Linked DNA regions of Macaca fascicularis. The protein of the gene in region 2 purifies or fractionates together with the protein of the main gene of each other region. This does not show direct contact. Links are inferred from orthologs where the notes say so. Each region holds a gene or a part of one and is shown on either strand. Other genes may lie near its edges. The genes, in order: ACTL6A, BCL7C, SMARCD2, ARID1A, SMARCC2 and DPF2.

What was found.
Region 1: the proteins of BCL7C (region 2) and ACTL6A purify together in Homo sapiens (affinity purification with mass spectrometry; 3 studies listed by BioGRID and IntAct, counting the BioPlex papers as one, with this or other methods). This does not show direct contact. The link is inferred for Macaca fascicularis from reciprocal best matches to the Homo sapiens genes BCL7C and ACTL6A.
Region 3: the proteins of BCL7C (region 2) and SMARCD2 purify together in Homo sapiens (affinity purification with mass spectrometry; 3 studies listed by BioGRID and IntAct, counting the BioPlex papers as one, with this or other methods). This does not show direct contact. The link is inferred for Macaca fascicularis from reciprocal best matches to the Homo sapiens genes BCL7C and SMARCD2.
Region 4: the proteins of BCL7C (region 2) and ARID1A purify together in Homo sapiens (affinity purification with mass spectrometry; 5 studies listed by BioGRID and IntAct, counting the BioPlex papers as one, with this or other methods). This does not show direct contact. The link is inferred for Macaca fascicularis from reciprocal best matches to the Homo sapiens genes BCL7C and ARID1A.
Region 5: the proteins of BCL7C (region 2) and SMARCC2 purify together in Homo sapiens (affinity purification with mass spectrometry; 4 studies listed by BioGRID and IntAct, counting the BioPlex papers as one, with this or other methods). This does not show direct contact. The link is inferred for Macaca fascicularis from reciprocal best matches to the Homo sapiens genes BCL7C and SMARCC2.
Region 6: the proteins of BCL7C (region 2) and DPF2 purify together in Homo sapiens (affinity purification with mass spectrometry; 4 studies listed by BioGRID and IntAct, counting the BioPlex papers as one, with this or other methods). This does not show direct contact. The link is inferred for Macaca fascicularis from reciprocal best matches to the Homo sapiens genes BCL7C and DPF2.

The regions. Positions count from the first base shown.
Region 1 is NC_088376.1:91,326,933-91,330,432, reverse strand, and holds part of ACTL6A (actin-like protein 6A), read right to left. Parts: intron 1,914-3,500; coding exon 1,813-1,913; intron 897-1,812; coding exon 799-896; intron 1-798.
Region 2 is NC_088394.1:29,068,280-29,072,233, forward strand, and holds the start of BCL7C (B-cell CLL/lymphoma 7 protein family member C), read right to left. Parts: upstream 2,801-3,954; 5' UTR 2,555-2,800; coding exon 2,463-2,554; intron 1,913-2,462; coding exon 1,834-1,912; intron 1,569-1,833; coding exon 1,460-1,568; intron 1,368-1,459; coding exon 1,206-1,367; coding exon of another isoform or gene 1,196-1,205; intron 1-1,195. UniProt on the Homo sapiens protein: May play an anti-apoptotic role.
Region 3 is NC_088390.1:70,346,792-70,350,744, forward strand, and holds the start of SMARCD2 (SWI/SNF-related matrix-associated actin-dependent regulator of chromatin subfamily D member 2), read right to left. Parts: upstream 2,801-3,953; 5' UTR 2,790-2,800; coding exon 2,574-2,789; intron 1-2,573. UniProt on the Homo sapiens protein: Involved in transcriptional activation and repression of select genes by chromatin remodeling (alteration of DNA-nucleosome topology).
Region 4 is NC_088375.1:208,331,523-208,334,891, forward strand, and holds part of ARID1A (AT-rich interactive domain-containing protein 1A), read right to left. Parts: coding exon 3,260-3,369; intron 873-3,259; coding exon of another isoform or gene 753-872; exon of another isoform or gene 517-752; intron 217-516; coding exon 1-216. UniProt on the Homo sapiens protein: Involved in transcriptional activation and repression of select genes by chromatin remodeling (alteration of DNA-nucleosome topology).
Region 5 is NC_088385.1:62,971,584-62,975,083, forward strand, and holds part of SMARCC2 (SWI/SNF complex subunit SMARCC2), read right to left. Parts: intron 3,285-3,500; coding exon 3,199-3,284; intron 2,154-3,198; coding exon 2,072-2,153; intron 1,979-2,071; coding exon 1,886-1,978; intron 976-1,885; coding exon 906-975; intron 665-905; coding exon 595-664; intron 1-594. UniProt on the Homo sapiens protein: Involved in transcriptional activation and repression of select genes by chromatin remodeling (alteration of DNA-nucleosome topology).
Region 6 is NC_088388.1:9,039,884-9,044,035, reverse strand, and holds the start of DPF2 (zinc finger protein ubi-d4), read left to right. Parts: upstream 1-1,352; 5' UTR 1,353-1,387; coding exon 1,388-1,419; intron 1,420-4,152. UniProt on the Homo sapiens protein: Plays an active role in transcriptional regulation by binding modified histones H3 and H4. Is a negative regulator of myeloid differentiation of hematopoietic progenitor cells. Might also have a role in the development and maturation of lymphoid cells.

The DNA.
Region 1 (3,500 bases), on a different chromosome or scaffold from region 2:
GAAGACCAGGAGGCAAGAGAACACAGCGAGGTCAGAGAACTGCAAGCACCTCAGTACGGTCTGAAAGTAAAAGGAAGAAATGTAGAAGATGATTCTAGCTTAAAGCAGACTAGCACTTTAGAAAGATTATTAGAGGCTGGGCATGGTGGCTCATGCCTGTAATCTCAGCACTTTGGGAGACCGAGGCAAGCAGATCGCTTGAGTCCAGGAGTTAGAGAGCAGCCTGGGCAACATGGTGAAACTCCATCTCTACCAAATAAATAAATAAATAAAAATAGAAAGATTATTAGATCAACAGTGTAAAGAATGGGCAGACAAGAGGATGTGCTTCAGTAATCCTGGAAATAGCTTCCACCTAATGCTGTGGCAGTGGGAAAGAGAGAAACAAATAGCAGGAAAGAATAGGTGGGACTTGATGACTGACTAAATTTGAAGGGGAATGAATTTACAGCCAATTTCCAGTTTTCTGTGATATTGGAAGGGAGGGAGAAAATGGCAATCTTTCATTTCATCTAAGCCAACTGGTTAAAATATTGCCTTCTATCCACATGCACCTTCCTAAAAACAAAAACGTCTTAACACTCAGAATTTGAGTGTTACTTTATTTCCCTCATACTTTCTAGTGTATCATCAGTTCTAATGAGAAACACCAAAAGATGAATAGCTAAAAAGCAAGAGAAAAGAGAAAAAAACAACTTCTGAACAAGCAATAATTGGCTTATGTCTTCTGCCAGAGTTATCACATTCAGTAGTATGGTATACACTTCAAGAGGAAAGGTATTACTCTTTCAAGGATACGCCGTCAAAACTGCAGTTTTGCAAAGGAAGAATGCAGGGATGTTGTAGTGTTCAAACATTAACTCTGTCAGTTTCTCTCTCTTTGCTCTAGTATTCCACTTGAGAAGAGGGGAAAAAGAAATGCAAGTTATTAAGAATTAAAAAGTTGATTTATCTCCAGATAAAATCTAGCACTATATTAACAAAGAAATAAAACAATAAGAACAGCAAAAAATACCATAGGAAATAATCTTTCATAATAATATCTCACAAAAATAAAAACAAAACCTCTATATTTCTTTAGATGTAGATTAAATTTAACAAATCAATCAGATAAGAATTAAAATTCTTTAATAATAAAATTGCTTCTATAAATTCTAGAAATTAGAGACTTTTCCACATATGAGGAAATCAGTATTCTTATAAACATATTATTAAATCTAAAGAGTAAATATGGTCAATCCAAATCCTAAGTATGAATTTTAGACCACCAAATTCTCCCACTTATAGATGGTATTCATAAAAGAAACTATAAGTTAGCAACAATAAGATACTGATAATTTATGACCATTATGCTTGCTTTCTGGGTCGTTTCTGTCTATGTACCAAATGTATTTCACAAGAGACTTTGGTCCAGAAATTTCCAGCCCTTGTTCAACATCTCAATTCTCTCTTGGAAACTTGAATAAAGTAGATATACGCTGCCCTTGGGGCACAAGAAATGATTCGTAATTCAAAATGGGAAGCAGTCCTAGGAAATAAAATGTTAAATCCCTAGAAATACATAAATAACCACAAGAATTCATTAGTGTGTTTTGTTGTTCTCTGCATATTTTATCAGAATAGTAAAATGAAAGTTACAATAGTATTAAAAAATTAATCTTTTTCCCTAATTTTCAAATTCAAAATATGAATTTCTGAATTTCTATGCCTCTTTATAGAAAAATATTCATCAAATGAGTAGAAAACTAAAGGAAAAAAGAAAAAAAAAAAAAAACAACTACAGAAACATGAAAAAGAAAATCTTTATCTCACCGGTGCCTCTGACATGAGAACAGGATGGAGGCTGGCTTCTGATTTGACATGCATTTTGTAGGTATGATCCAAAATAGCCTGGAAACTATCCCAGTCTTCAACTAGAATATAAGATTAGTAACTTGGAAACAATGCATAGTTGAAGATGAATACAACATATTTTGAGAAATTGTTTCTGTGACTTAACAATTAATACCGTATTATACAGAACCTACTGATTTTACAGATCAACTTCATACCACAGTACTTTATATAAAGATTACCTTTGTCTTCTAGATATATAGAACTTCTTTTTGGTCCCTCCAGCCCCCAGACCTATCCCAAATGTAATTAATCTAACAGACCTAAAATACCAAGTAAATGTTATTCAATTCAATAAATACTTATTAGAGGCCCAGAATGTGATCAGAATAACAGGAAGTACAGAAGAATTATATGGCCTTCTAAATGATACTACTGCTGGGTTTAAAAAAAAAAAAAACAACAAAGATTTGTATGGTCTAGACCCAACACTCAAAAAAGCTTACAATCTATTTGGAAAAAGACTAAAAGACATGTTAAAAATTCAAAGAAGAACATCTGTCTTCAATTTGGCTTCCACCTAAACATTCCATTAAAACTACTGACATAAGTCATTAATGACCTTCTTTTTTTTGAGATGGAGTCTCACTCTCTCGCCCAGACTGGAGTACAATGGCGCAATCTCGGTTCACTGCAACCTCTGCTTTCTGGGGTCAAGCAATTCTCCTGTCTCAGGCTCCCAAGTAGCTGGGATTACAGGTGCCCGCCACCATGCCCAACTAATTTTTGCATTTTTAGTAGAGACAGGGTTTCACCATGTTGACTAGGCTGGTCTCTATCTCCTGACCTCAGGTGATCTACCCACCTCGGCCTCCAAAGTGCTGGGATTACAGGTGTGAGCCACCGCCCCCAGTCGCGAATGACCTTCTACTAGGCAAATTCATGGACACTTAACATTTTTAATCTCATCTGACTTCTCTAAATTATAACAGTATTGCCTTCACAAGAGTTTACAAACTTTTCTACTGCAGCCCAAAGAAAAAATGTCATTAATTATATATTTCCACAGGCCCACCTGGATTTTTTTAACTTCTTTCTTAGTGTAAAGCTTTCAATGTCACAGCGGAAAACACTGAGAATAAATGGAATTTTATGCTTCCAGAAACTTTTTCTTTTCTTATTCTTCCCCTGAATTTTTTCCTACATCCCTAATTGTTCCCTTTCATTCTCCTTCAAGGGTACCTTTTATTCTCTATTGGTTAAAATATACAAGTTTTTTGCTAAGAACTCCATCTTCAATCCTCTTCCCATATTCCAAATTTTTTCAGAGTAATAAAAAGCAACTCCATGTCTTAAAATCTTTCTTATAATCTTTTATTCCCCTGTTTACAGAATTGTCACCTGGATGTTCTAAGCACTTTTAACTTAGTGAACCCATTTACTTACTATACATGAAAGAGTTAACACTGCAAGCCTGAGAAAGGCCTGCTTGTAAGGCTCACTCTTAGCTGGTGTCTGGAAACACGATTGGCAAACAGTTCCCTATGTTCATATAAAACTTGTCCCTAAATGGTAAGAGTAGCTCGCTATACCTACACTGTTTGTACAATGTGGTTGGTTCTGAACACTTGCTTTCCTTCTGATAATCTAAAATTTTGTTACATGCC
Region 2 (3,954 bases):
CCCAGGAGGCTGAGGCAGGAGAACTGCCTGAACCTGGGAGGTGAAGGTTGCAGTGAGCCAAAATTGTGCCATTGCACTCTAGCCTGGGCAAGAGTGAAACTCAAAGGAAAAAAAGAAAAGAAAAGAAAAAAACCCAACCATGTAAAGTGTTTACCAGGGCGCCTGGCACACAGTAAGAGCTCAATAAATACTGTTGTTATTCCTGTTATTATTAATCACCCCAATGACTATCACTATTATTTATTCACTCAACAGATATTTACTGAGCACCTACTCTGTGTCCCATATTATTCTGAGAATACAGTAGTGAACAAGATCACATAGGGCCAAGCACAGTGACTTACGCCTATAATCCCAGCACCGTGGGAGGCTGAGACAGAAGGATCATTTCAGGCCAGGAGTTCGAAACCAACCTTGGCAACATAGCGAGACCCTATCTCTACAAAAAATTTAAAAGTTAGCTGGGTGTGGTGGCACACACCTGTAGTCCCCAGCTACTTGGGAGGCTGGGGCCAGAGGATCCCTTGAGCCCAGGAGTTTGAGGCTGCAGTGAGCTATGATTGCACCAGTGCACTCCAGCCTGGGTGACAGAGAACTTCTCTCTAAAAAAAGAAAGGGGGGGCGGGTATGGGTGTGATGGCTCACACCTGTAATCCCAGCACTTTGGGAGGCTGAAGATGGAGGATCGCTTGAGTGAGTGAGTTTGAGACCAGCCTGGGCAACATGGTGAAACCTTGCCTCTACAAAAAATACAAATGGCATATGCCTGTGGTCCAAGCTACTTGGGAGGCTGAGGCGGGAGGATCGCTTGAGCCCAGGAAGTTCAAGGCTGCAGTGAGCTATGATCACACCACTGCACCACTCCAGCCTAGGTGACACAGTGAGACCCTGTCTCAAAAAAAAAAAAAAAAAAAAAAAAAAAAAGGATTAATATGGGCCCAACATTCAGGAAACTGACATGAGAGTGAGGAGAAAGATAGTAAAAAATTAATTTACATGAAAGTCTCAGACAGTGATATGTCATCTATAGATCCTAAGAGACCAGAGGAATGAGACAGCAACTACAGAGAGATTCTGCAGGAGTCGGAAGGCACCTTGAGGAAGGTGCACAAGATGGGGAGCAGGTATAGGGATAAGCTGGTAGGTTAGACTCTGGAGAAGACAGGACTTAGAGGAGAGGGCTCCTGGGAGGTACCTGGTCCTACCTCTCTCTTGGCCCAGCCGTGGGGGCTGAGCCTCCTCAGGGACCCCTTCTGGGGGTCCGGCAGGTGACACAGGGCGGCTGGGCTGGGGGGTGCCCCCAGGACTGGGCTCTGTGCCCTTTTGCAGGGAACCTTCCGAATGGAAACTCTGGTTGCTGTTCTCATCTGTGGGAGCAAGAGCCGAGATGGTTGGCCTGAGATCCCTAATACACTCCTTCAGTCCCCACAGCCCTCCGCATTTCAGGATCCCTACCTACCATTGAGATCCAGCAGGATGAGAGGGCCACCCCCTCGGGGACTGGCGCCCCTGCCCCGACGTTCCCGGCCACGGGATCTCTCTGCCCCGCCACCTGCCCGCCTTCGCTCCTGGGGGTTAGAGGATTAGGGTCAGAGCTCTTGGAAAGCCCCACCATACACCTAAGGAAACTGAGGCACTGAGAAGCAAAAGGGCTCGAACTCAGGGTGTGGAACAGAAAAGAGGGAAAAAGGGGAGGAGCTGCTAATGATGGTTCCCATCTGTCTGTTCTGCTGCATCTGAGGTCTCTGGGAGCTGGAGGTAGAGGTCAGGGTGGGGAGGAGCTTGCCTGAGGTTGCACAGATGCAGGGCCTTGTGGGAATGGGGGTTGCTCACCTCCTCCTGGGGGTCCACCACTGGCACCCACTTGAAGATACGAAGGGAAGTGTCGCCCACAGTCACCCATCGCTTCTCCCTGTGGGAGGGTGGGGGACTGGGTCAGAGAGGCCTGAGGGGAGACCCACCCCCCCAGGAGCCGGACACATCTGGGGGTACCTGCAGAGGTTGGGGAGGCACAGGAGGGTAGCAACAGTTTTGCTAATGGGGCATAGTTACATGGAGAAAGAGAGCCCTGCAAACCCCAGGGCACAGGCGGTGGGTGCCTCTAGAGAGAGGATATGATTTGGGCCCTGGCTCTGCGGACCCCTGGGGCACACACGGGGGGCGTGGCTATGGGCCTGGCCCGGGATCAGAGACCTGCAGATCTCGGGGCGCACTTGCAGAAGGAGTGTCAAAGCTTTAGGGGGCGGGGCACAAACGGGGGCTCCCACTCTGGGAGAGCACGACTGGGGACCACGCTTTGTAGACCCCCAGGAGTAGCCAGGGGAACGGGGACAGATCCAGGGCAAAGCTAGTGGGCGGGGATACAGCGAACACCGGGGCCCAGAGCTGGCGAAGGCAGCTTAGACGCCTTAGGTGGTGGTGGTCCCGCCGTGTCCCGTCCCTGGCCCCCGGGCAGCGCTCACCATCTCCGGACCTTCTCGATGGTCGCCATCACCTTCTTGATGTCATCCTTGGCCCGGCTCCGGGTCTCAGCCCGTACGGTCCGGCCGGCCATGCTGGCGGGGCTGGGGCCGGAGCCGAGCCCGCGGCGGGGCCGCCTCCCGTCCGGCGGGCTCAGGCTCGGCGCCAGGCCCGGGCGCCGCGCTCTCGGCCTGCCGTCCCCCCGGGAGTTGGCCGCGCCCTCTCTCGTCCCCAACGCCTCCGCGAGTCCCCGCCCCGTTTCCTGCCGCCGTGCCCCGCCCCGGCCCGTCCCCGGAGCGGCCCGGTGGCGCGGGCGGCCAGAGCCCAGGCCTGGAAGCCCGGCCGGCCCCGCCCCGACCCGGGCCCGCCCCCTCGGAGCGCCTGGACGCGCAGCGCCCCCTGCCCGCTGTCGAGAGCGGGAGTTGGGTACTGCTCGGCGGCCGGACGCGCGAGGCAGGGCCGAGGCGGTGCGTTCAGACCACGTGGGCGCGGGGTGCTCGAGAGGGTCTGTGTCCTGGGGTGCGTGCGCCGCGGTGGGTGTCCGCGAAACGCTGTGTGTGGAGTGCGTGCGTGTGTCCGCCCTCGCCAGGCTCTCGGTCTACACCGCCCAACACTCATTCATCCATTCATTCAACAGTCCTGTTAACTGAGCGCCAATTACGCGCCAGGCGCTGCGAATACGAGTAGGTCTCTACCCACCAGAATGGCTAAAGTGAAAAAGACCGCACCATGTGGAGGCGAGAAAGTAGAGCGACTGAACCTCTCTTGTATTTCTGGGGGAGTGTAAATTGGTAGAGACGTTTTGAGAACTGGCAGTTTTCTAGTGAAGCCGAACATATGCCACCTCTGTGATCCAGCAATTCCACTCCTAGGCTGTCAACACCCAGCAGAAATGTGTAGGTGTGAGCACCAAGAGGGTGCTTGGGAACGTTCAGAGCCCTTTCATAACAGCCCCAAACTGGAAATAACCCATCAACAGAATGGAAAATGAATGATGCCCTACTCATTACCATGCACATAGACACAGCAACGGGAGTGACATGCCCGGCTACACCCAGCAACATAGACAAGTCGCATGACGAAATCTTGAGTGACAGAAGCCAAATACAACAGTACATACTAGATGGTTCCAGGTGTATTACGTTCAGAACCAGACAAAACTAATTTAAAGTGCACCAAAGTCAAGATAGTGGTCGCCCTTAGGATTGGGAGGGGATGAGGGGAGAGCTTCTGGGAGCTGATCCAGTTCTGTTGTGTGATCCGGTGCTGGTTCCCTGGGCATATGTACTCTGTGAAAATCCATCACATGACTTAAATAAAATGTGCATTACTTAAAGAAAGTGAGTGTGTCTTGGTTGACTTTATTTGAGGCTGGCTTGTCAGCAGATAAGACCATGTCAAAATTTGTGCTGCTGTGTGTGTGTGTGTGTTTCAAGATGTGCCTGTTGTGTCTGTGAGTTTGGGCGTGACCATGTCCCGAGGTTAAGGGTATAA
Region 3 (3,953 bases), on a different chromosome or scaffold from region 2:
GCAGGTGGATCACAAGGTCAGGAGTTCAAGACCATCCTGGCTAAGATGGTGAAACCCCGTGTCTACTGAAAACACAAAAAAAATTAGCCGGGCATGGTGGCGGGCACCTGTAATCCCAGCTACTCAGGAGGCTGAGGCAGAGAATTGCTTGAACCTGGGAGGTGGAGGTTGCAGTGAGCTGATATCATGCCACTGCACTCCAGCCTGGGCGACAGAGTGAGACTCCGTCTCAAAAAAAAAAAAAAAAAAAAAAAAGATTTTGAACTTTTTGAACTCTCTGGAGTGAACCCAGAAATCTGAGGTTTTTGTTATTTTGTTGCCCAGGCTGGAGTGCAGTGGCAGGATCATAGCTCAATACAGCCTTGAACTCCTGGACTCAGGCAATCCTCCTGCCACAGCATCCCGACTAGCTGGGACCATAAGCGCACACCACCAAGTTTGGCTAAATTTTTTTGGGTTTTTTTTTTTTGAGAAATTATGGTCTCACTATGTTGCCTAGGCTGGTCTTGAACTCCTGATCTCAAGTAATCCTTCTGTCTGGGCCTCCCAAAGTGCTAGGATTATAGGTGTGAGCCACCACATCCTGCCCTGGAGGGTTTTTTGTTGTTGTTTTTGTTTTAGGTTCCTCTGTTAACTGTGATCCACAGCCAGAACCACCCTCTGGAGGAAGGGAGGTCATCACTTCCCTTCTTTCAACTATTTGTTCAGCTTGGGCCTCAAATTCTCGCTTTTCCAGCACATCTCATGAGCCCTAACAGACAGGAACCCCTCTGTTTCCCAGATCTCAAGTCCCTTCTCCTGGAAGTCATACAACTGGACTTGGAAAGAGAGCAAGTAGGATCCTCTTCAAACTCAGCCAAAGTTAGCTGGCTGGGTTCTCTGTACCATCTACCTCTCCTGCCAAGAGGAGGAAAGCTAGTGGGATGGGAAACCCAGACTCAGGGCCATCTCCTACTTCCCCACAGCTAGCAGCCCAGGCCTAACCAGCCAGCCAGCTTGGCCTTGCCACAAGCCCAAGGCCACCCCCCACCAAACATGTGGAATCCATTCTCTTAGGGGCTGTCTCAAGGGCACATTTCCTATGACTTTTTGCATGCCAAGGAAACTGGAGCGGCTTGTCTGTTCCAGGTCCTTCCAAGGCCAAAGGCCCACAGATGGTGCCCAGGCCAGGTCTCAGTGGGCAGGCCCAAGGGCTACAATGACTGATGCAGGGAGCCCTCAGCAACACCCTGGGCCCATGAATCCCCAAGGGGGAGAGTAGGGTGGGAAAGATGAGCCCCAGCTGGAGTCCCTGGGACCAGGTCTGTCTCTGCCCATATCCAGACTCTGTTTTCTCTTGAGAAAGGAGGAAGAATGAGGAGGAAGAAGGGAAAAAAATCCAGTCACTGTCCCTAGTTAAGCCATCTCCTTAGATGTGAGGCCCAGTGGGGCAGGTAGGCTGTGTATACTCCACGAGGATCCCTAAGGACCTCCGCCTGGAGACAGGAGTCGAAAACAGAGGAAGCCCACAGCAGACCCTGGGAGAAGCCAGTGTCAAATGCTGGGGCATATGGCTTCGGATGTGGCGGAGTTAGAACCTGAAGGCCAAATAAAAATGCAGAGAGGATGATAAGGCAGATGGGCACAGTTTCCAAGCCTGCTGGTGCAACCTGAACAGCAGACTAGGGGACCAGCAGGGTCAGGCTGAGGTTCTCACACACTGAGCAGAAGTCGCTGCCTTCCAAGGGCTTTTGAAGCTGAAACCTGAGCAGCTCTCAAAACCCCAAAGGGGTCAGGACAGCACTCTTTGAAGCAACTCTCGCAGACTCCTCGGGCCCCAGACCAGCAGGGTTCCACTCTGCACGTCCAGACTAATCAACTACCCGACACGATGACAGGAGGCAGAAAGCCCAGAAGAGAGCCGGCCTTTGACTAGGCTGGGCCTCCCCTCAAGCCTGGCCACCACCGTCTCTGGTCTAAGCTGGAGTCCTCCCCAGCGAAGGCGCCTGGCCCTGCCTCTGGAGTAAAGTCCGCCCGTGCACAAGCTGGAATGAATCCCCTGGCCCTAGTAGCCTCAGCGTCCCGTGCCCGTGGGAAGCCAGGCTCCTTCCTCCTCATTAGCAGCCGGGAGCCATCTCAGACACGCTAGAGCTCGGCCAGTTCGCAACCAGAAAAAACAGGGCAGACTTGGAGTGGGACCAAGGCCGATGCAGGGTAACCCCGGTTTCTCAGCGAGGGCCCTTTCCCAAACTTTCTCATCACTTTCTAGCCCTCCTACCCTAGACTTCTCAACCCACCCGCCCACAATTCACTGGTTCCCCAAACTCCTCCATCTCCCAGTCACTCGGAATCTCTGTGCCGCGGAAGCCCCCAGGCCTCCCAGCTGGTTCCAGCCCTCCGCTGCAGGACTCGCTCCCCCTTCCCCACTCCTCCACCGCCACCCGCCGCAGCCCGAGGGATCTGGCCCGCCCTCCACCGTCTCCCGGAGTTCCTCATGCATTCCCCAAGGCCCTCACTCGAGGCCCCCTCAGCCCCCGGCCCGGGCGCCCTCGCGGCGCCGCACGCCCCCGTCCGCTCGCGTCCTCCCTACTCACCTGGTACTGCCCCGCGGGGCCCGCGGGGCCCATGGGGCGGAAGGCGGCGGCCCCGGGGCCCCCCACGCCTCCAGCCGGACCCGGTCCCCGGAGCGCCGGTCCGGGCAGCATGCCGGGTCCGGCGGGGGGAGGAGGCGCTCCCAGGGCCGCGGCCACGGCGCCGCCGCCAGGGCTTAGCGGGGGCAGCGGGAACCCGCCCGCGCCTCGGCCCGACATCGCTCCGTCCCGTCCCGCGGTGCCGCGATCCGGACTCCGGGCTACGCGTCGAGTCCACTCCGCGCTCTGTACTCCGCGATCCGGGACTTGGCGATCTTAATTCCGGGTTCCGGGATTTGTCGATCCGGGCTCCGGGATTTCCTAATCCAAGTTCGCGAGTTCCTCACAGACCCGGTTCGGGACAGATTCCGCTCCTGCGCCGGAGATTCCGGATCCAGGATCTGCTGTGGGCCCGCCTGCCGCCCCCGGACTCCGGAGGTTTGGCCGCCCGAGTCGAGTTACCCAGAGGCGGCTACGAACTCCCTGCCCCGCCCAACCCAGCCCAGCACTAGGCCCCGCCTCTACCTGGTGCCCAATGCTCGAGTGCCTCCTTGAATCCCGCCCCTCGCGAGACCCGCCCCCAGCAGGCACCGCCCCTAACCGCCGACCTCAGAGTCCCACCCCCCACCTTTGGCCCCGCCCTTCATCGGAGGGGCGGGAGCGGAAGCTGCGCGCGGAAGCGCCGAGTGAGGCGCGGGGTCAGAGGTCTAAGGTCACGTTGAGGCTTCACAGTGAATGAGCAGTTGCTACTACTCTTTCCCGGTGTAGCAGCCTCACCGAAAATAGTTTTGTCAAGTCTCCTTTCTGCATCTTCCACATTAAAGACCCAACTCAGAGTCGGTAGCGGTGGCTCACGCCTGTAATCCCAGCACTTTGGGAGGTTGAGGCGGGTGGACCACCTGAGGTCAGAAGTTCGAGACCAGCCTGGCCAACATGGTGAAAACCCCGTCTCTACTAAAAATACAAAAATTAGCCGAGAGTGGTGGCTGGCGCCTGTAATCCCAGCTACTCGGGAGGCTGAGGCAGGAGAATCGCTTGAACCCGGGAGACAGAGGTTGCAATGAGCCAAGATCTCTCCACTCCACTCCAACCTGGGCGGCAAGAGTGAAACTCCTCAAAAAAAGAAAAAAGACTCAGCTGCTCTCTGGGGCAGAACAGCAGCCAACTCAACTTCCTGTAAAAGCTCATCCTGGTAGCTCGGAACTGCCAAGGGACCTAGGAGGCTCCAGACTTGACCCAGCTGGTGAATGGTCGACTTGGCCAAGGCTGAGCTCTTACAGCACATTTTTAACGTGGCTCTGCCTCACTATAAGGAAGCCTGGTACTTTACTCCCCAGCAAATGC
Region 4 (3,369 bases), on a different chromosome or scaffold from region 2:
TTCCTCTTCTTCTTCCTCTTCTAGTTTAGGACCTAGAAGTTCTTCTTCTTCTTCCCCACCCTCCATGGGAGCTGGACTAGACACCTTGCTGAACCTCCCAGGATCCAGTAGCGTTCTCTGTCCTGGGTCACCCACCTCATACTCCTTTAAAATGCCAAAGATCTCAATCAGGCATCGTCGGAAATATTCTACAAGGAGCTCTAGCAACCCTGGGAGCTAAAAAGAGAAAGAACAGGAAATAAATTAAGGGATAAAAGTGGTCAAAGAACAGAATCCTTGACTTGAGAGACCTCCCCAAGTCTTCTGTATCAGCTGGGAGAGGCAGAGTTGCTCCTTTCCCAAAGGTTCTCCACAGAGCAAATTGTTCATCTTAATCTCTTCTATGCCCAACACAAAGTTCTTTCTTCTGCCCAACCTACCTTCACATAAGCCTATCTCCAGGAACACTAGCCAACAGCTTTGCACCTCACCCACCAGGGCCAGTCATCTCTTAGCCTTCTCTTTTCCCAATCAATCTTCTGCTGTTCTTCACCAGGCCAGTTTCCAACCTGGTGGTCACTGCCATATTATCTCTTTTAGGACATTCTCTCCATCTCACTGCCAAGTGGAACCCAAGCTTAGGCATGGTGACTCAAGCTAAGAGAAGAGAATGCAATGTGGGCAGATGTTCATGGCTCTCTTCTCCAAGCTCCCCAATAGTCCAGGGGGCTGGAACTCCATGGATCTTGCAGCATAAGGAGTGGGATGAGGCTTCAGCTCTCCAAACACTGGTCCAAACTGGGGCTACAGAGACCCAAATTCCACCTTGGGTAATATATAGGCCATTTATTTACCTCTAGAAGAAAACACTCCTCTCCAGTCACAATCTTTGGCTGAACAGTAGAGCAGATGGGAAAAAAATAAGGGCTTTCAAATTAGATCTAGGGGCTGGAAGCAGTGGCTCACACCTGTAATCCCAACACTTTTTTTTGTTTTTTTTTTGAGACAAAGTCTCACTGTCATCCAGGCTGGAGTGTAGTGGTGTGATCTCAGCTGGCTGCAGCCTCCGCCTCCTGGGTTCAAGTGATTCTTCTCCTGCCTTAGCCTCCCGAGTAGCTGGGATTACAGGCGCCTGCCACCACATCGGGATAGTGTGTGTGGGGTGTGTGTATGTGTGTGTGTGTATTTTTTTTTTTTTTTTTGAGACAAGAGTCCCGCTCTGTTGGCCAGGCTGGAGTGCAGTGGTGCAATCTCAGCTCACTGCAACCTCTGCCTCCTGGGTTCAAAGTGATTCTCCTGCCTCTGCCTCCCAAGTAGCTGGGATTACAGGTGTGCCACCAGGCCCGGCTAATTTTTATATTTTGGTAGATATGGGGTTTTACCATATTGGCCAGGCTGGTCTTGAACTCCTAACCTCAACTGATCCACCCACCTTGGCCTCCCTCCCAAAGTGTGAGGATTACTGGAGTGAGCCACCACGCCCAGCCTAATTTCTGTATTTTTAGTAGAGACGGGGTTTCACCATGTTGGCCAAGCTGGTCTCAAATTCCTGACCTCAAGCGATCCTTCTGCCTCGGCCTCCTGAAGTGCTGGGATTACAGGCGTGAGCCACTGCTCCCAGCCGGTAGTCCCAATACTTTGGAAGGTTGAAGTGGGAGAATCAGTTGAGCCTAGGAGTTTGAGACCAGCCTGGGCAACACAGTGAGACCATGCCTCTACAAAAAATAAGGAAGTTAGCTGGGGCCTGGAGCAGTGGCTCACACCTGTACTTTGAGAGGCTGAGGCAGGTGAATCACTTGAGCCCAGGAGTCTGAGATCAGCCTGGGCAACATGGTGAAGCCCCGTCTCTCAAAATAATAATAATAATAATAATAATAATAATAATAATAATAATAATAATTAGCTGAGCATGTTGGCGTGCACCTGTAGTCCTAGCTACTTGGGAAGCTGAGGTGGGAGGATCACCTGAGCCTGGAAGGTCGAGACTGCAGTGAGCTGTGATTGCACCACTGCACTCTAGCTTGAGTAATGGAGATCCTGTCTCAAAATAGATAAATAGCTGGACATGGTGGCATTTGCCTGTAGTCCCAGCTACTCAGGAGGCTGAGGCAAGAGGATCACTTGAGCCCAGAAGTTTGAGGCTGCAGTGAGCCATGAGGGCACTACTACACTCCAGCCTAGGTGCCAGAGTCTCTTAAAAAAAAAAAAAAAAAATTCTGGTTTTTCCAGGAAGTAGCTGTATAAAATAAAAATTCCTAAACTTTACAGGGTTATTCTGAGGTGTAAATGGGAGATGTCAAATACCTGGCATATGAAAATTGCTCTATCAAAATTTTTCCTTTCTCATGGTAGGCAATAATATGCAATGGAAATAAAATCAGGCTTAGGAATCAGATAGATTCTACTGACAGCTATGTGAACCTCAACAAGGGTAAGACTCTGAGCCTATTTACTCATCCCTAAATGACCATATCTCCTGTCTCTGAGGGCTGTTGCTAGGATGACATGAAACAGAATATTAAGGACCTGGCACAAAATAAGAGCACAATAAATGGTAACTATTAATAAGTCAGCTCCTTGATATACAGGTTGGTAGGTATTAAAGATGATCAAAAGAAAAAGAGTAGGATGATGCAGCACAAACTCTTTCCAGCACCTCTACTAGTGTGCACATCCTATGGAGGGTGGGTCTGAACAATCAGCTTTGTAAGAATATTGTTAAACAACCAAATCCCCCATCCAACTCTACATCTAAGGACACTGGGATCAACAAAGGCCCCTACTGTTCAAAGAAGAAAGGGAAAAATGGAAACAATGTACTCTGCTCACTGATAAAAAGACCACAGATTCAGGCCAGGCCTGGTGGCTCACGCCTGTAATCTTAGCACTTTGGGAGGATCACTTGAACTCAGGAGTTCATGAACCTGGGCAACACAGTGAAACCTTGTCTCTATTAAAAAAAAACAAAACACACAAGATTCTTCTAGAAAATGTGGTGTCCCCACTGGCATCAATAGAATCTGCATTCTTACTAATACCCCAAAGTGTCTCCCAAATTCCTTTTGAAGTCAATCCTGTGTTAAGGTATCATGTAAACAAATTATTATTGCTCTCAAGATCCTGGGCCCGTGCCCAGAGGCAAAGGAAGCAAAGTACTGGCATGGAAGATATCTACAAGAGTGAAAGAGAAAGACCATGGTGGCTAAAGATGAGACATTCCCATTGTCTACACTAAGAAGATCCCAAACCATCTCAATCTTCCCCAGGCACTGATACTCACCTGACTGAGATTGAAGGTCATGATGCTGTTGTCATCATATAGCAGGATGTTGATGGTATCTAATGCCCATGTGCTCTCTGCCAGGAGACCAGACTTGAGGGACATCATTA
Region 5 (3,500 bases), on a different chromosome or scaffold from region 2:
TCAGCCCCCCGAGTAGCTAAAACTACAGGCGTGCGCCACCATGCCCTGCTAATTTTTTTTTTTTTTTTTTTTTTTTTTTAGACACAGGGTTTCAGCATGTTGGCCAGGCTGGTCTCGAACTCCTAACCTCAGGTGATCCGCCTGCCTTGTCCTCCCAAAGTGCTGGGACTACAGGCGTGAGCCACCATGCCGGGCCTACATGCTGCTTTTTGCAACTATTAATAATATTCACTTATAAATTGTCCATGTTATTTTATATCACTTTGGAGGCTGCATAATAGCCCACTGAGTAGATATACAAATTTACTGAAACATTTTCCTACTGTTAGACATTTAGATTGTTTCTAACATTTACTTATCAAAAATTATGTGGGGATAATCAATTCATACATAAAGCCTCAATTGTTTTAGCCCAAGGCTTGTTCACTAAGTCCAAACCTCCCCCAAGACTGAGGTTCACTTAATAGGTGAGAGGAGAACAAATTAAGTGATCTAAAAATAACTCTGAACGAGTGGCTTCTTGCTCTGCTAGATGTTCCAGGGCTTCTGGGTCTGGCTCTTATACTTAAACCTGCCCCAGGAACCCATCCTCACCTGTCAGGATAGTAGCCCCAGTGCAGAAGAACCTGCTTATCCCTCTTCATGACTGGTCGTACCCATTCCTCTGGGGATAGAGGAAGAGAAGGGAGAGATATAAGCTAAAGAGGGACACAAAAAAAATACTGTACATAAGCCCTAACTAATGCACTCTCCTGTTGTAGCAGGGGACTTGGTAATAGGAACTTAAGGTGTTAGGAGGATTCAAGATTGAAAGAAGAGGAGCCCAGGTACTGAATGGTGATCTTAGTCCTCTGCCTCCTAGTCCAAACCATCCACTCAAGTGGCCAGGAAAACCCAGGTCTCACCTTCTTCTAGATTCCCCGGGACAGGATACACAACATGGGAGGCATTGTTCTTATCCTCAGTGACTGTTCCCTAGATGGCACAAGGAGAAGCAGGTAAATTACGGTCCCCTCTGAATTACTCAAGGTTTAGCCACAGAGCTGCCTTCCTAATCATATTTTGCTTATAATAGTATTAAAGTTAGTTTGCATTCTCTAAGCACACACCAGCTAAGTGGCAGAGGGAAACAGCTGGGATTGTGCTAATAATGGAGAAAAGTCAAAGAATTAAAAATTGCTACAAATAATCCTCTGAACAGATAATCTACACATGGGAAATTTAAAGTCAACTGTACGTCCTTATCAATGACATCTGTTCATTATTATAAAGTTCTAAAGAGCAGGGATTTCATTTATCTGAAATCAAGCAATCTCTAGCTCAATAGAAGTGGATACTATTTTTCCCCAGGCCAACATAAGTCTCTAGGAACAGTAATGCAAACCTGTCAGGACTGAAAAATGGGAGAAGTAGACAGAAAAAGACAGACTCAAGGCTTTTTTTTTTTTTTTTTTTGAGACAGAGTCTGGCTCTGCCGCCCAGGCTGGAGTGCAGTGGCTGGATCTCAGCTCACTGCAAGCTCCGCCTCCCGGGTTCACGCCATTCTCCTGCCTCAGCCTCCCGAGTAGTTGGGACTACAGGCGCCCGCCACCGCGCCCGGCTAGTTTTTTGTATTTTTTAGCAGAGACGGGGTTTCACCGTGTTAGCCAGGATGGTCTCGATCTCCTGACCTCGTGATCCGCCCGTCTCGGCCTCCCAAAGTGCTGGGATTACAGGCTTGAGCCACCGCGCCCGGCCAGACTCAAGGCTTTAACTCAAGTCTTCCCAGTAGACAGAGCCACCTCTGAAGCAGAAAACATGGTAGTTCAGGGCTGCTGCTTGGTATAGAAAACATCAGGAAAAGAGTCATGGAGTTTCTGAAACCTCTCCTGATCAGACCATTTACCTGGTGTCTCTTGATTATGTCCTTTAATTTCCCTAGTAGTTTGGGCTCAATTTCTGGGCACAGAAAAATGTTAGGTCGAGACAGGCAATTATTCTGTGGAGAAAAGAAATAGAATGAGATCACGGGAAAGGAGTGTTTTAGATTTTCACTGAGGGAAGGGAGATAAATAGGGGATATGCCTATTACCTGCACCAAGGACTTCTCGATGGTCATAAACATTTCCACATTGCGGTCCATGCGTGATGGATTCTGGAAATCGTAACGCCGCCTTGTGAAGAGGCAATAATCTAGTGAGTGGTATAGCTCAGGTCTGCAGATGAGGTGAGGGCATGTGACTTTTGTTTTTTGAGATGGAGTCTTGCTCTGTCACCTAGGCTGGAGTGCAGCGGTGTGATCCTGGCTCACTGCAACCTCTGCCTCTCAGGTTCAAGCAATTCTCCTGTCTCAGCCTCCCCAGTAGCTGGGACTACAGGCACACACCACCTCGCTTGGCTAATTTTTGTATTTTTAGTGGAGACAGGGTTTCACCATATTGGTCAGGCTGGTCTCGAACTCCTGACCTCAGGTGATCCACCTGCCTTGGCCTCTCAAAGTGCTGGGATTACAGGCATGAGCCACCACACCCAGCCTTTTTTTTGTAGTTGTTGCTGTTTTGAGAGGGAGTCTTGCTCTGTTGCCCAGGCTGGAGTGCACTGGCGTGATCTTGGCTAGCTGCAACCTCTGCCTCCCCTTTACAAGCCATTATCCGGCCTCAGCCTCCCAAGTAGCTGAGATTACAGGTGCCCGCCACCATGCCCAGCTCATTTTTGTATTTTAGTAGAGATGGGGTTTCGCCAAGTTGGCCAGGCTCGTCTTGAACTCCTGACCTCAAATGATCCAACCACCTCGGCCTCCTAAAGTGTTGGGATTACAGGCATGAGCCACTGCACCCAGTCATGACTTCTTAATATGGGAAATTAGGAGGCAAGCTTGCTTACAGCTATTGCCAAAATCACCTGGGATCTGAGGTTCACTGATCTCAACTCCATGAATCACTCTCTGTGCTTACTCCAAAGGGACAAAAAAAGGTTTCAGACGCCAACCTAAGAATCCCTTTTCCTCTACAAAACACACACTGATACTCGAGTACACACTCACTCTTGGCGACTGTTTTGGCTCTGACTCCCAACCATTTTTCTGACCTAACAAGTCAGGTCTACTGACCCAGCAAAATAAAGACTCACAAGAATTTCTACCCCAGAAAGACCCCAGGGAATCAAAAGGAGGGATTTCCTCTAAACTAAATGTAAGAAGAATAGAGAGAATCATCTCACCATCCCTGGTCACTCTTGAATTTGTAGGCAGCTGCAAGAATGTGGCACAAGGAGCCTCCCGCTTTGAAATCTAGGAAACATTTGATCTACAAAATCAAGGTACGGAAGAAGCATGTCAAGGTTCTATTGTAAATTCTATCATCACTTAAAATCCTTTCACAAAATCCCATGCTGAACTGATCTCCCTCTTTTTTTTTCAGATGGAGTTTTGCTCTTGTTGCCCAGGCTGGAGTGCAATGGCACGATCTCGGCTAACTGCAACCTCTGCCTCCCAGGTTCAAGCAATTCTCCTGTCTCAGCCT
Region 6 (4,152 bases), on a different chromosome or scaffold from region 2:
TCTAAATCTGCTGAAAGGGAGGTCGTGGTGACAGGAGCTGTTTCAAGGGAACAGGTGGGAACAAAGTTCCCATTAAACTGGATGGAAGCGGGACCTAGAAACAAGGTAACAGAGATAGGGAGTACTATTTGCTTTTAAAGGGTGAAAAGAGGTGATAGTTGAAGATTGACTTGGGCTGTTTTTTGTTTTTTGGTTTTTGGTTTTTTTGAGACAGAGTTGGCTTTGTTGCCCAGGCTGGAGTGCAGTGGCACAATCATGGCTCACTCACCTTCGACCCTCCTGTGCTCAAGCAATCCTGTCACTTCAGCCTCTAGAGTAGCTGGGAACACAGGTGCACGCCACCACATCCGGGTAATTTTTAAATTTTTAGTAGCGAAGAGGCCTCGATATGTTGCCCAGGCTGGTCTCGAACTCTTGAGCTCAAAGCAATCCTCCTGCCTCTGCCTCCCACGGTGCTGGGAGCCACTGTGACTGCCCTCCTCCTGCTCTTTTTTTTTTTTTTTTTTTTTTTGAGACAGAGTCTCGCTCTGTCTTCCAGGCTGGAGTGCAATGGCATGATCTCAGCTCACTGCAACCTCCACCTCCCAGGTTCAAGCGATTCTCCCCCTTCAGCCTCCCGAGTAGCTGGGATTATAGGTACCTGCCATCATGCCGGGCCAATTTTTGTATTTTTAGTAGAGATGGGGGTTTCACCACGTTGGCCAGGCTGGTCTCGAACTCCTGACCTCAGGTGATCCACCCGCCTCGGCCTCCCAAAGTGCTGGGATTACAGGCCTGACCCACCGCGCCCGGCTCCTGCTCTTATTTTTTTATTTTATTTATTTATTTTTTTGAGACCGAGTCTGGCTCTGTCGCCCAGGCTGGAGTGCAATGGCGCAATATCGGCTCACTGCAAGCTCCGCCTCCCGGGTTCACGCCATTCTCCTGCCTCAGCCTCCCGAGTAGCTGGGACTACAGGCGCCCGCCACCACGCCCGGATAATTTTTTGTATTTTTAGTAGCGATGGGGTTTCACCGTGTTAGCCAGGATGGTCTCGATCTTCTGATCTCGTGATCCGCCCGCCTCGGCCTCCCGAAGTGCTGGGATTACAGGCGTGAGCCACCGCGCCCGGCACCGCCTCCTGTTGCTCTAAATAGAAGAGGCGGCCCTCGAACCGAAGCTCCGGGACGCACGCCAGTCTCCGGTTGCGCCTGCGCGTCGGGCTCCCGTGGGGTCCTACCCGGCCCCCGGGAACAGGCCTAAAGTTCTTTCTTCGGTGCTCGCTCTCGTGCGCGCGCCCGGACGGCGCCTGCGCAGAGGGCGAGGAACCTGGTACCCCGGTGCGGTCCCGGCGCCTGCGCGCTGCGGACTTTGGGGCCTCCCGGCCCGAGGGAGAGGAGCAGGGAAGATGGCGGCTGTGGTGGAGAATGTAGTGAAGCTGTGAGTGGTGGTTTCTTTCTCTCCTAGGGCGGCAGGTTTTGTAAAGGGCCTGGGAGTAGGGGGCTGTGGGGAAAGGGACTAGGCGGAGAGAGGGACATCCCCGGGAAGGCCATGTTGCGACTCCTGGTGGGGAGGGCAATAGGAGACTCCGGAGAAGACGTTGCGCTTCTTTGGAAACTTGTGGAGGCCCTGATGGGGGCACACTGGAGCCCCGACGGGCAGCCTCTCTGCTGGGCTGTGTGGCCTCAGCGTTCCTCGGGGCTGACGGTTTCCAGAGCATGGCGCCCTGCCTGCACGCGAGACTCACCGTCCCGGTCCTCTCCCGAGACGCCTCAGTCCGGAGGAGCGGGGCCGAGGCCCGGGCGGCCCCACGGCTAACCCGCCGCCCATCCCGCCCCGTCCCGTCCGCTGCAGCAACAGGCTCGGCGGCCCCTGTGGGGTGCACTGCGGGGCTGGCTGTTTCAGTTCCAAGCAGCCCCGTGATGTTTGGGAGGATCTTGGGTGGCAGGTACCTAAGACTACAAATATTCTTGGGAAGCATTTGTCGAGGAGCGGATCCAAAAGGGGAGTGGGCCTTGGCGCCTTCCAGTGGCAACCATCAAAAACCTGCAACTGAACCAAAGCCGTTCAGGACAGCTTAGTAGCCTAAAGGGGCATCTAAGTGGGCATTCTTCCTATGATGCGATACCGTTGTGCTGGTCAGATTTCAAGCAAAGTTAAAGTTAATAGCTGTTGGGGCCATGGACACTGACCTATGAACTGCTTCCTGTGAGTTAAAGATGCTTTGGGACTGACTTGATTTATTCCTACAGGAGAATCAGAATGAGTTTTAGATTGGGTTAATGCCCGGTAGGCGAATAGAGCTTCTTTTAATGGGTATATTGGGCTTGGTGCAAGGGTGGGAAAATTGAGTGGTGTCTAACTGTCCAGTCAGGGTTTTTGGATTTTGGCTGGGTGATGAGGTAAAGGTTCGGTAAGTATTCTAAGGGACTCACAGCTTCTCATCTGTCTTTGTCGTGGCCTGAGCCCCTCTCTTCCTAGGGGCCTTTTTAAAGAGTAAGTTGCTTCTCCCTCCTGCCTGAAGCCTTTTCTTTGAGAATGCTTTCCCACTTCCATTAAGCTAAGTGCCTTTCCTCCTCTTGTGGTTTTTTTTTTTTTTTTTTTTTTTTTAAGTTGCTTTCTGCTCTATCCTGCTGTCTCTTTCAGCCACCCCTCCTCCCAACACTATTGTCTTTCTGATCTGCCCACTCCAGTTTCCCCAGCTCTCTCTTCAGGCTGACATTTTTCTCAATTTAGAAATGACACTGTTGATCTACCATTTATCCAGTTATCCTTTCTGACTCAGATGTTCTTTCTTTGTTTCCCTGTGTCTTTGTTGACTTCCCTCATCCCATTGTAAGGGGATGTTTTACACAAGTTTCTCCAAAAATAAAAAGAAAGATTCTCATTGTACTGGAGGAGTATCAGACTTGCCTAGGTTTTGAGAGTTAAACGTAGTGAGGCTCTTTGTGTTGGAAGGTTTTCCTCGGGGAAATAGGGTTGCCAGTGCTTTCAAGTTGTGTCATAAGTGAGGGGTTGCCCATTTAAACAGAGCATGACATCTTGTTTCTCTTTGAAAAACTGTAGAGATTGTGAGCATCACCAGCCACTAATTCCTGAATGCCAGTAATGAGAAACCAACTCTCTCCTCCTCATTTCTAGCTGCACAGGGCCTCAGATCACAATTAATACGTACTCCCGCAGAATTATCCCTTTAAGAAGGGGCTTCCATTCTTCCAGTTAATTTGGAGATAATTTTCTGGCACTTCTCTTGATTATAGTGTACGTAGTCTTCTGACAGCTGATGTTATACATTGAGTATGTTGAGGTCGGACCACTGGCTCATCTTTTCTTTTTTTTAATTTTTTTAGACAGAGTTTCGCTGTTGTTGGCCCGGGCTTGAATGCAGTGGCACGATCTTGGCTCACTGCAACCTCCGCTTCCTGGGTTCCAGCAGTTCTCCTGCCTCAGCCTCCCGGGTAGCTGAGATTACAGGTGCCCACCACCACACCTGGCTAATTTTTGTATTTTTAGTAGAGATGGAGTTTCATCACGTTGGCCAGGCTGGTCTTGAACTCCGGACCTCAGGTCATCCACCTGCCTCGGCCTCCCAAAGTGCTGGGATTACAGGCGTGAGCCACCGCGCCCGGCCTTAAGAATTTTCTTATTTGTAAGTTTCTGTCCCTGCCAAATGTGATGTCAGAAATGGAAGTCTTGGCTGGGTGCAGTGGCTCACGTCTATAATCCCAACACTTTGGGAGGCTGAGGCGTGCTGATCGCTTGAGGTCAGGAGTTCGAGACCATCCTGGCCCACATGGTGAAACCCCATCTCTACTAAAACTATAAAAATTAGCCAGGTGGGGTGGCACACACCTGTAGTCCCAGCTACTCGGGAGGCTGAGGCACAAGAATCGCCTGAACCCAGGAGGCGGAGGTTGCAGTGAGCTGATGTCACACCACTGCCCTCCGGCCTGAGTGACACTTTAAGACTCTGTCTTAAAAAAAAGAAAGAGGCGACTGGGCGCGGTGGCTCTGTAATCCCAGCACTTTGGGAGGCCGAGGCGGGCGGATCACAAGGTCAGGAGATTGAGACCATCCTGGCCAGCATGGCGAAACCCCACTCTACTAAAAATACAAAAATTAGCTGGGCGTGGTGGCGTGCGCCTGTAATCCCAGCTACTCGGGATACTGAGG